2 linked regions of the Caenorhabditis elegans genome follow. The protein of the gene in region 1 interacts with the protein of each later gene in a pairwise test. Each region holds a gene or a part of one and is shown on either strand. Other genes may lie near its edges. The genes, in order: str-131 and metl-13.

Region 1 (4,125 bases):
CAATTCGAAAAATACAAAACCTTAAAATTTCTACATGTATCATGTTCAAAAGAGACAACATTTTAACCTCTCAGCCGTGATCACCCATTAATCTTTTTTTTTTGGTCAGGAAGAATTTTATTCTATTGACGTCAAATACACTTTCTGATTATGAACTCAACTAATAAAAACATCTATTTGAAAAGATTTCATTGTGTTCAGAAAGCTTAGGTAAGCCAAATAACTGAAAGCAAGCTAAGGAATTAAATAACTTCCTATTATTCAAATAATTTCAAACCTTGAGAAGTACACTGACCTAAGGAATTCAGGAACTGATAGTGAGTTCATATAGTTTGAACTATTCGTTGTCATTCATAGCAGTTCTATTAAATTCAAAAAGCTGTTATAGTTTTTAAAAGCAATAACATTTTCAAATTTCTGGGAGACCCAAAACGTTTACCCCCTTCCCCTTAATAGTCCAAATGAATGAACATAAGGTTTACGTCACCCTCTCATTGTTTTTAAGCAGAAATCACTGAGATCATGAGATGTTGATCAAACGCATTTTGAGAACTACAACTAAAGTTCAGTAAAATAGAAATTTACAGACGTTTGTCTCAGTTGTTTTATTGTAGTTTCCGATCGGAATTCTCAAAGTGTTACTGTTTTTAAGAATGGGAGCAAAATGGTTATTCAGTATTTCAGCATTATCATGTTGTGTACTCGCCAATTGAACCAATTATCACTATAACTCGCATTAAACCTTTCCAAAACGCGTAGTGATAATTTGAAATACTGTCCCGAAGTATTTGAAAACGAACACAGTCTTTATTTTGACAAGTATAGCTGTTGTAAAAAATAATTTCGAATAGTACAAAATGATGGTATTGTAAAAACTGAATGAAATAAATTAGTGATATCAATTGTAGTTATGGAATTAGCACGACAAGCGTTCTCTGTAATAATGTGTATTTGTAGTGTGATGATGATATTAATCTGAAAGAAAAATAATAATTTAGAGATCGGATGTTCATCAAAGTTTGAATTTCCACAGATTGAAAATTCTTTGTGTTGCTTCAACTGGTAAAATTTGTAAAGCAAGTTTCCTAATAAATTCCTTTCTGGAATTTGTCTGATAACTTCCTTAGAAATACGACACATCTGAAATTTTTGAATGCACTTCATCAGTTTCCCAATGTTTCCCAATTATCGAGAATCACCTGCAACATCACTCCCAATCACGGAATAATAAGAATTGTACTCGAAATACTTTAGTTGGCTTGTTTTGAAAATATTAATAAATAGGATTATAATTTGTCACTTTCAGAAACATCCATTAAAAAACAACAAATCAGAAACGGTATGATGATTACGGATTTCGTGTTTAAAAAATGTGATTTTAAAATATTTTAGACATCTATGAATTTGTGGTTTTTCAGTTTGATATTATTTGAAACAGCCCAAAAATCAAAAATCATTCAAGAAATTTGGCTGCAATTTCCATCGGGTACATCAATGGCCAGGTGTCCAAGTTATTCTAATCTCTAGTTTCTACAAAAAGAATCATTCAGAATTAATAATTCGAATTTCTGCAAAAAAGTGTAAAGTCATCAAAACAATGTTACTCTGTTTTCTACCTTTTTTGTTTTTTTTTTCCGAGCCGACACACCATTCTTTTACTTCATTTAATCTGTTCTGTGCATCAGTATGTGATTTGAGACAGACACTCCTCCCATTTTCTTCACTTCCTTTGAAAGAATGAATCACAGACAACCGGAGCAGCTGATTTCAATATTAATACAATTCAATTCAAGACTACACTTCCTCCATTCTTCCAGTAACTTAAAAACGCCTCTTTCTGATTGGAGTATAAATTAACTTCCAAAAATTAGTATTAGGGTGTTTTTGTACGACTCTATGATGCTTTATCGAGTAATCCATTACATTCAGTTTGCTGCTTTTGCTGTTTCCCAATGTACCAATGGACTTTTGTTGTACCTAATATGGACAAAGGCTCGGAAAGTTTTAGGTGCCTATAGCTACCTGATGCTTGCCTTTTCTCTTTATGCTATACTATACAATTATGTCGATATTATAACTCTGCCATTGGTGGTGATCGAAAAACAGATGTACGTGGTAGTCAATCATGGACCTATTCGGAATGTTCCAATCTTTGGTTTCCTATTCACATGTGAGTTCTAAGTTTGTTAGTTTTGATTTAAGTTAGGAATTTACATTATCCTATTTTTTTGGCGGAGAATCTTAAAATTTAAATGGAAATTCTATATAGAATGTGACTAGCAATTGTTGAACTATCATTTTAAAATTTTTTTTGAGTTCAATTTTAATATTTTAGGCCTGTTCGGATCATCCTTTGGTTTGTGTATTTCTCTACTTTCTACACAATTCTTTTATAGATATCTTGCAGTTTGTAGGTTCGTTCTCTAGATTCAACGAAAAAACTTATTACAAAAAATTTCAGACCAAAGTCTTTGCACTATTTAGAAGGCCGCCGATTGGCTTTGATATTTATCCCTGCGATTTTTGTCTCCGTCATTTGGTTTTTCTTTTGCTTCTTTGGATTGGATATAACTGTCGAAAAACAAGAAATGTTGAAAGAACCATTCATGGAATTTTACAACGAGGATTCAAATACGATGTCATTTGTTAGTGGTCTTTTTTGGAGTCTTGATGAAAATGGAACGAAGCATTGGAATATGAAAGATTGTATTGGATCACTCGGTTTAGCTGCGTTGATGGTAAATATTATTCTGTAAATAAATTGTAGCTTTAATTTTATTTTCAGATTGTTTGCTGTCTTACCATTGTTTTTTGTGGCGTAAAAACATACAAAAAGATGAACGATTCTGGAAATTCACTTAGCAACCGGACAAAAGAGCTCAATAGACAATTATTTGTCACATTGAGTTTGCAGGTAAAAAATAACAAAAAATAATTTCTAATGATCATTTATTTTCAGACTCTCCTCCCATTCATGCTGATGTATGGACCTGTTGGACTTCTGTTCATCTTCCCGCTGTTTCAAATTAAATTTGATATTTTGTCAAGCTCAGCAGCCGCCTCAACTGCTATCTACCCTGCCGTCGAACCATTAATCGCAATTTTTTGCATCAAAACTTTTAGAAAAGCACTGTGTTTTAATCAATGTATCAGGCAAACTGCGAGAATAACCAGCACTGCTGCCTCAACCGCAGCAAAAAGCAATTGAACATTTTAAAGAAATGTATTTTTAGATGTTTTGGTTGTTTTTTCCATAAAGAACATTTGAAAAACAAATCTGTATATTTGAACCAGTCAAAACTTTTGCAATTTTTTAATTGTTAAAACGTTAATTGACAAAAACGTTACTTGAAAATAAAAAAATAGAGAGTTTAAAAATAGTTAGACTTTGTGTTTTGTCTTATAATAAAGGTTCGAGAAAACAAACTTGTTTTTAAAAATTTTTTCAATGAAAACTTCTCTGATCATCAACGCACTTTACGTGTGGTTTATCGTTTTTGAGTGCGAAGATAAACATTTTACAGAAAGTTCCATTTAGTCTTTGTTCTATTGATGCTATCAAAGTTTAGAGAGAAAATCTCTTCTCATCACACCTTCTTCATGTGAAGAAAAACAACGTCATTTAACACCCTGCGGTTTTTGATAGTATGAAGAGATAAGCAAGAGAAAATCATTCATTGTTCCTAACTTACTTGGAGAAAAATATCGATAAATGAAAATAAAGCACTTTAATATATACATGAGACCATTTGCAATCACCACTTGACCAATCGAACCAATTTGTTTTTCGGATAGTTTCTAATTCCGAATTTGCGGAGTTCGTTGAAGATCCAGATCCAGATTCCGACAATGACTGGGACAAGCCAGCACTAAAAAATTCAAATTAATATAATATTGAGTTTACAATTCACAGAAATTAAAGTTTTGAAATCCAGAGCTTTACTTACCTCCCATGGTGGTGGTTGGGATCCGAAGACATATTGTACTCCTGGAACAAATGTGAAAAGACAGATGAGGAGAAGATCAATGATGACTGCAAGAATAGCAACAATGTTAGCCATTCCGTGAACAAAGATTGAAACACGACGAGTCAAACACATCCAAAGATGCCATGCTTGTCCAACA
Region 2 (5,825 bases), on another chromosome or scaffold:
TATTCTATTGCAAGACGAGCTCCTGGCTGAAAAGAAAATAGCTTCGAGCAGTTTAAATTCTGTGAAACTTCAATCGTAGGTTCTTATTGTCTGGCTGTATATAAAAGCAGGCATCTAATTAGAAGGCGATGTAAATAAAGTAGTTTGTTTTAATTAAATTAAAGTTCAACTAGTGAAAGTTTAGAAAAAAACGGTTCATTGTATTGAGGTAGGTACGAAGTAGGCCGGCATTTTTGGGCCTAATTGGAAGGCTTTAATTTCCCTAGTTACCTTTCTTATCATTGTACGTTTTGGTTCAGAACTGGAATCAACTAGACATATTAGCAATAGAAATAGAGAAAGTACAGTACTAACTTGAACCATGATGGCCGCACAAGTGAACTTATGAATTTTATAACCGCACGGTGAGAGGCGGAAATAAAAATTAAAAGATTAAAAAACACAGTTTGATAGAAATTACTCGTTGTCTGAACTTTTTTAGAGATTAATCTATTTCTGCAGTACAGATCACTACCAAAATGAATACTATTTTGTAGAAAAACTGACGATCAAAAATTAAAAGTTTCATATTTTGTGACGGAAAATATTTTTTAGTTCCAAAGTTATTATAGAATAGTTTTGGCCGCATAATCAAATACAGATAATTTGCACAACTTCCTAGTGGAATTCCAAATAGTCTACATCGGAAGTACAGTAGGATCGCGTCGAGATATCGAATATGCTGTTAATAGTTGTTTTTCCTGCAAAGTTGTTTTTCACTGCACCGTGAGAACATTAGACATGTTTGCAAAGTGTAAAACAAAATTCATCAGGTGAACAAACGAAACAACAAACGGGGGAAAATTTGAATAACTGGGAACAATCGAATACATATAATAAAAAATTACTGAAAATAAACAAGATAACAAACGAAATTGTGCAATTAATAATCAACCATACGAATGTTTGAGATAGCACCGACAACCTCATCATAGCTTCCAATATCTTTGCGAACTGTGTTGATTAATTTCTGAGGAACCACTGGTTTTATTGTGTTCTTGGGTGTTTTGAGACCGATGATAATCTGAAAGAAATATATTTGCTAGTAGAATTTCAATAATTAATTTAGTTTACCTCATTAACATCTTCGAAGGACAGAACTGTGTAGAGAGTTGGGAAATACTCTGCGATATTCTTTTTAATCGACTTTCCGAATTCCGAATCGCGTGTAACCAAATTCAAACTAATCATTCCTTGTTCTTTCACCGAGTTTTTCATATTTCCTAGAGCTTCTGGGGTAAGGAAGGCGGATGGTGGGCATTGAAGAGCAGCGTTCTGACTTCCAGAAACATCCACAAAAATCACATCGTATTTCTCTTCTGGAAATAAGAATTGATTTGTAAAATAAAATTTGAACATGATATTTTAAATACCTTCAGGTTTCTTTGCAGTCTCCTGGAGATGAATAAGAGCATCTTGGATGACAACGTCAATTCTAGCGTCCGAATGGGGGAACGAGAAGTGAGAATTTGCGATTTTGAGTACTTCTGGATCAAGTTCCACAGCGGTTACATGAGCCTGAAACGAAAATTTAGCACTGTTAAGTTTCTAGACTTGATTGATACCTTTTTGAAATGTCTGACAAGATATGCAGTCAAAAGTCCACCACCTAATCCAAGAACAGCCATCTTACACTGAGCATCATTCTTGGCTAATGGTTGTTGCGGACTGATGGCTAGGGATCCGATCATCATTCTATGGAAATCGCATGCCAATTGATCGAGATCTATGACCGTTTGCTTCTTCTTTCCGGCTGTAATGTTAATTTTAAATTTTGAGGTGAGCATCATTAAACCGTTCTTTTTTAATTCTGATAAACTACCTCTCGTGTATTAACAAGATGGGAAATGTTATTCTTTTTCCACCGAAAATAATACAGAAGGATGTGCGCCTTTAAACAATACTGCAATTTTCAAATCTCGTTGCTGCTCAGTTTTCATTGATTTTTCAGTTGTAATAAATCCATTTTACTCTTTAAAGGGGGTTGAAAAATGAAATTTTCAACTACTAACTTTTCAGATAAGCTTCAGATTGTACCAGATTCATCGTATTCAGAAAAACTAGTCTTCTAGTTTGATTTCCTTCAACAGTAACTTCTTCAACACTCCAACCACCATTGATATCCGAACGTCCCGTTGAAACGGTTCGCTTAACATCGACTCCTCCGATGGATAGAATTTCGTACTGAAAATCGGGTTTTCATATGTTTCGTGTTCAATTCTACATACATTTCCAGTATTATCTTGTCTAACATCCAGCATTCCAACAAAATGTCCAATATCACTCTTCACACCGTCCATTCCTTTTTCATATTTTTGATTTCTGTTGAGGAAAACGATTGCGAGACGTTCGCGGCCACATTGAACACGAAGAGCTTTTCGTCCCTTTGGTGAGGCGAATAGCCATTCAGAATCACTGAAATTAATATAAGAATTCGAATTTAAAAATGTTTTCTATACAAACCGTCCAATTGGAACCACAAATGCGGCGAATGTGTCAATCTTCTTGGCTTCTGGATTATCAACAACACAGATACGATAACGTGGTCCTAATGATGGATCTGCTCCATGAAAGTCGATTGAAACTTCAGAGTCCAGCTTTCTAAATTAATTTCATTAATTTCAAGGGAAAAACTAAAATGAATTACTTCGAGCACAGGTAGATGAATTGTGAGAGCTCCTGTTCTCCACGAATAGAATCCTTCAATTCGTCAGTGCTATCGATACGATCAGTACGGATGGAGCTGGAGCGAAGAACTTCTAGAGGCTAAAAATATAGGTTTTATTTAAATAAAATAATTTGCAATTTATCTACCTACCAATGGATTTGGCATTGGTGCTCGCATTTTCGTGGCAATAAAGCAGAAAACTGGCATTGGGAATCCAGAAGCCTTGTTCTCAACTTTTTGAACACGTAGGATATATTGCTTTCTGGAATAACGTTTTACAGATTTTTGAGAAAAATGAATATTTTACAATGGATAGAAGTGATTAATCCAGAACTCGGTGATATGTGGTTGAGCCAATGTGACAATGATATATCTTCCACCAGAAGCCAATACACGATGAACTTCCTCGAACATCTTTGTAACCAATGCTTCATCGGATTCTGAAGCTGATGGTGGAAGAAGAGCGTCGAGAGTTCCTTTATCAATTACAATGGTATGTGCTTCATCGGCCATGGATAGCTATAACATATTATTTTCGAATTTCTTTTCTTTTAATTGTTCATTGTGCACAACGGGACATTCTCCAAACTCACATTAGCAGCATCTCCAGTCTCAAAAGTCATTCCGAGTCGTTCTTTATTTTTACGAATCTGTGTGGCAATAACAGATGGTTCTACATCAATACTGTGAATGCAATGAAATCCATTATCGTAGAGTTGGGTCGCTAATTCCGAATTACCACATCCAAGTTGAAGGAACGTGTCTTTCGGTTTCAAATATTTATCAATTACATTTGATAAAGAATTATAGTCACCGTACCTGAAAGAATTCAAATTTTTACATGAGAATCGAAAGCATTCAATTTTTGTGTATGTTGATGAGGAAAAATTTCTATCTAAAAAGAAGAAAAATGGTCAATATTTTAAGTTATTTTTCGAAACATTGATAATTTTTCTTTGACAAATCTGAAAAACACTTGATAGTGATGTGATAATTTTCTTTTAATTTTGTTTGAAAGACATCATATTTTAACAAAGAAATATAATTATTTAATTACCATTCGAATGGAGATTTTCGTTTTGCAAAGAAGTTCTTCCAGTACGCTGGATCCGTGAAAGATTGTGGCTCATTTGGAGCGGACATGGCCTGAAACTATAGAAACTAGAAAAATAATCATTTTAAATACTCGAAATAAAACATGAGGCTAAATGAAAACCAAAGAAAATAAAATTATAATTAAGAAGTAAAAAATATGAGAAACATTCATTATTAAAGTTAAGTAATCTTTTTTGAAAATATATCACATTGAAAATTGATAAACTGTCTTTGGATGATTTTGAAAATCCTGAAAATCCACAACCGGGGAAAAAAATCAAAAAGAGATGAAAGGATGACTAGGACAAATAAAGAGATAAATATTTTGCTTTGTGATTTGAATATTCTGCAGAAATTAAAGAGAAATCGAAGGCACAATGGGGGAAATATATAAAGAGGTCACAAGAAATATTTACAATTTGAATGCAAAAAGTTATATTAAAAAGATCAAATATCATCATCGCTCATTTCATCCAGTAGTCCAGACATTGCTACCGTTCCATTGTTCAGCTGAAAATCTACACATTTTTGAGAACATTTCGGGTAATTTTTTATTTATTTTTTCTTTAAAATAATTTCGAGCGATATTTGATTTTCCGATTATTTCAATATAAAACTCACACTTCCAAGTGCACCACCTCCTGCTTGACTCCTTCTTCCACCTCTTTCTAAATCTATCGAATTCCTTAATCCATCTCCTTCATCCTCATCCTCATCATCATTTAATTCGAATCCTTCGTTCGTCCGGTTACTCAATGGCCGATATCCTTGAACTGTATCGGATCTTCCCCAATTGGGATCAGATTTGAGTACGGTATTCTTACATCCATAAGCGAAGAATATTATAACAATACACATTGAAGGAATTAAAATAAGCGAAAAACTCCATGAATCCTGAAGAAAAATTATGTGCTTTTGATAAGCTTTAGAATTGAGTCAAATACTCTGTGGAATAACCTACCGTAATCTGATTAAATACGAAACCATGTGTCATTGGTAAATATCTGTTCTCTTTTAAAGCTCGTTTCACAATTTCCATGGTTCCATTATTTTCAGTTGGTGTGATACCAAGCACATGACACATTATATTGTACAAATCCACATTTGAAGGAATATCGGCAATCTGAAAGAATATTTATCATACAGTTCTCAAAATGCCTAGCTTATACCGTATAATTTTCAGAAAACGCTGGGCCTCTCATAATAAGGAAAGCTCTCATCTCTGGACGATCAGGATCTTGTCCGTGAGTTGATGAATTGAATTTTAATGTTCCGTTTTCTCCATATTGCCTGAAAGTTGATTTCAATAAACTAATCGTTGTAATATTTTTTCCGGTAAACGGATCAAACTGCCTTTTTTTAATATGATAATTCAAGAAAAAATGTCCCATTCCATCTAAAAATGATATTTGTTTTTGTTGAAAAACTTGACAAAGGTCTCAAATAGTGCCGTTAAAAGTTATTCTGCAAATGACAACATTCGGGCAATATTTAAGGTTTTTTTTCCAATTATTCAACAAAGCTAAATATTATTTTCAGATAGAATGCACCTGTTTCTGCATTACTATTGTTTACGTTTGCCAGAAAAATTTGCCGCACAGCCCGGTTGTAAACCACATACTTTTCCATAAGATCCTTCGTACACGAAAACGAAATCGAAGAACCGATTTGCGGCTCGAAAACGATTTTTCCAATTCGCGAACTGTTTCGATAATGCCATCTTTCTGGAACTTCCTCTCTCCAATGAATATTCACATCATATCCATGCTCTTTCACTGCTGATGTTAAATTTGCATAAATTTGTTTTCCAATTTCATCCGAGTGTGGATAAATCATATGATCACCCATTTCGAATCCAGCGCCAGATACATAATCTTTCACGCACATGACATGTTTGTGATCTGAATTTAGTTTTAGGAATTATGAAGATTTTAATTTCAACTATTTTAAATTATTACCTTTAATTTCTGCATGTCCATGATCAGCTGTTAGGATAATATTCACATCAGCTCCCAAATTATTA

Evidence for each region.
Region 2: the proteins of str-131 (region 1) and metl-13 interact in a two-hybrid assay, tested with the Caenorhabditis elegans proteins (one large-scale study listed by BioGRID).

What each region holds. Positions count from the first base shown.
Region 1 is NC_003283.11:8,079,450-8,083,574, reverse strand, and holds str-131 (Serpentine receptor class r-10), read left to right. Parts: upstream 1-1,895; 5' UTR 1,896-1,896; coding exon 1,897-2,170; intron 2,171-2,335; coding exon 2,336-2,414; intron 2,415-2,461; coding exon 2,462-2,738; intron 2,739-2,785; coding exon 2,786-2,914; intron 2,915-2,959; coding exon 2,960-3,208; 3' UTR 3,209-3,426; downstream 3,427-4,125. Other genes in the region: catp-3 (Cation-transporting P-type ATPase N-terminal domain-containing protein), read right to left, coding at 3,756-3,869, 3,948-4,125.
Region 2 is NC_003282.8:6,633,117-6,638,941, reverse strand, and holds metl-13 (Methyltransferase domain-containing protein), read right to left. Parts: upstream 3,854-5,825; 5' UTR 3,851-3,853; coding exon 3,765-3,850; intron 3,527-3,764; coding exon 3,301-3,526; intron 3,227-3,300; coding exon 3,015-3,226; intron 2,970-3,014; coding exon 2,858-2,969; intron 2,806-2,857; coding exon 2,687-2,805; intron 2,641-2,686; coding exon 2,503-2,640; intron 2,455-2,502; coding exon 2,268-2,454; intron 2,224-2,267; coding exon 2,052-2,223; intron 1,793-2,051; coding exon 1,605-1,792; intron 1,558-1,604; coding exon 1,413-1,557; intron 1,359-1,412; coding exon 1,114-1,358; intron 1,064-1,113; coding exon 923-1,063; 3' UTR 787-922; downstream 1-786. Other genes in the region: C01B10.7 (TransThyretin-Related family domain), read right to left, coding at 1-26, 271-363; C01B10.9 (Bis(5'-adenosyl)-triphosphatase), read right to left, coding at 4,250-4,312, 4,424-4,696, 4,764-4,925, 4,972-5,092, 5,424-5,703, 5,761-5,825.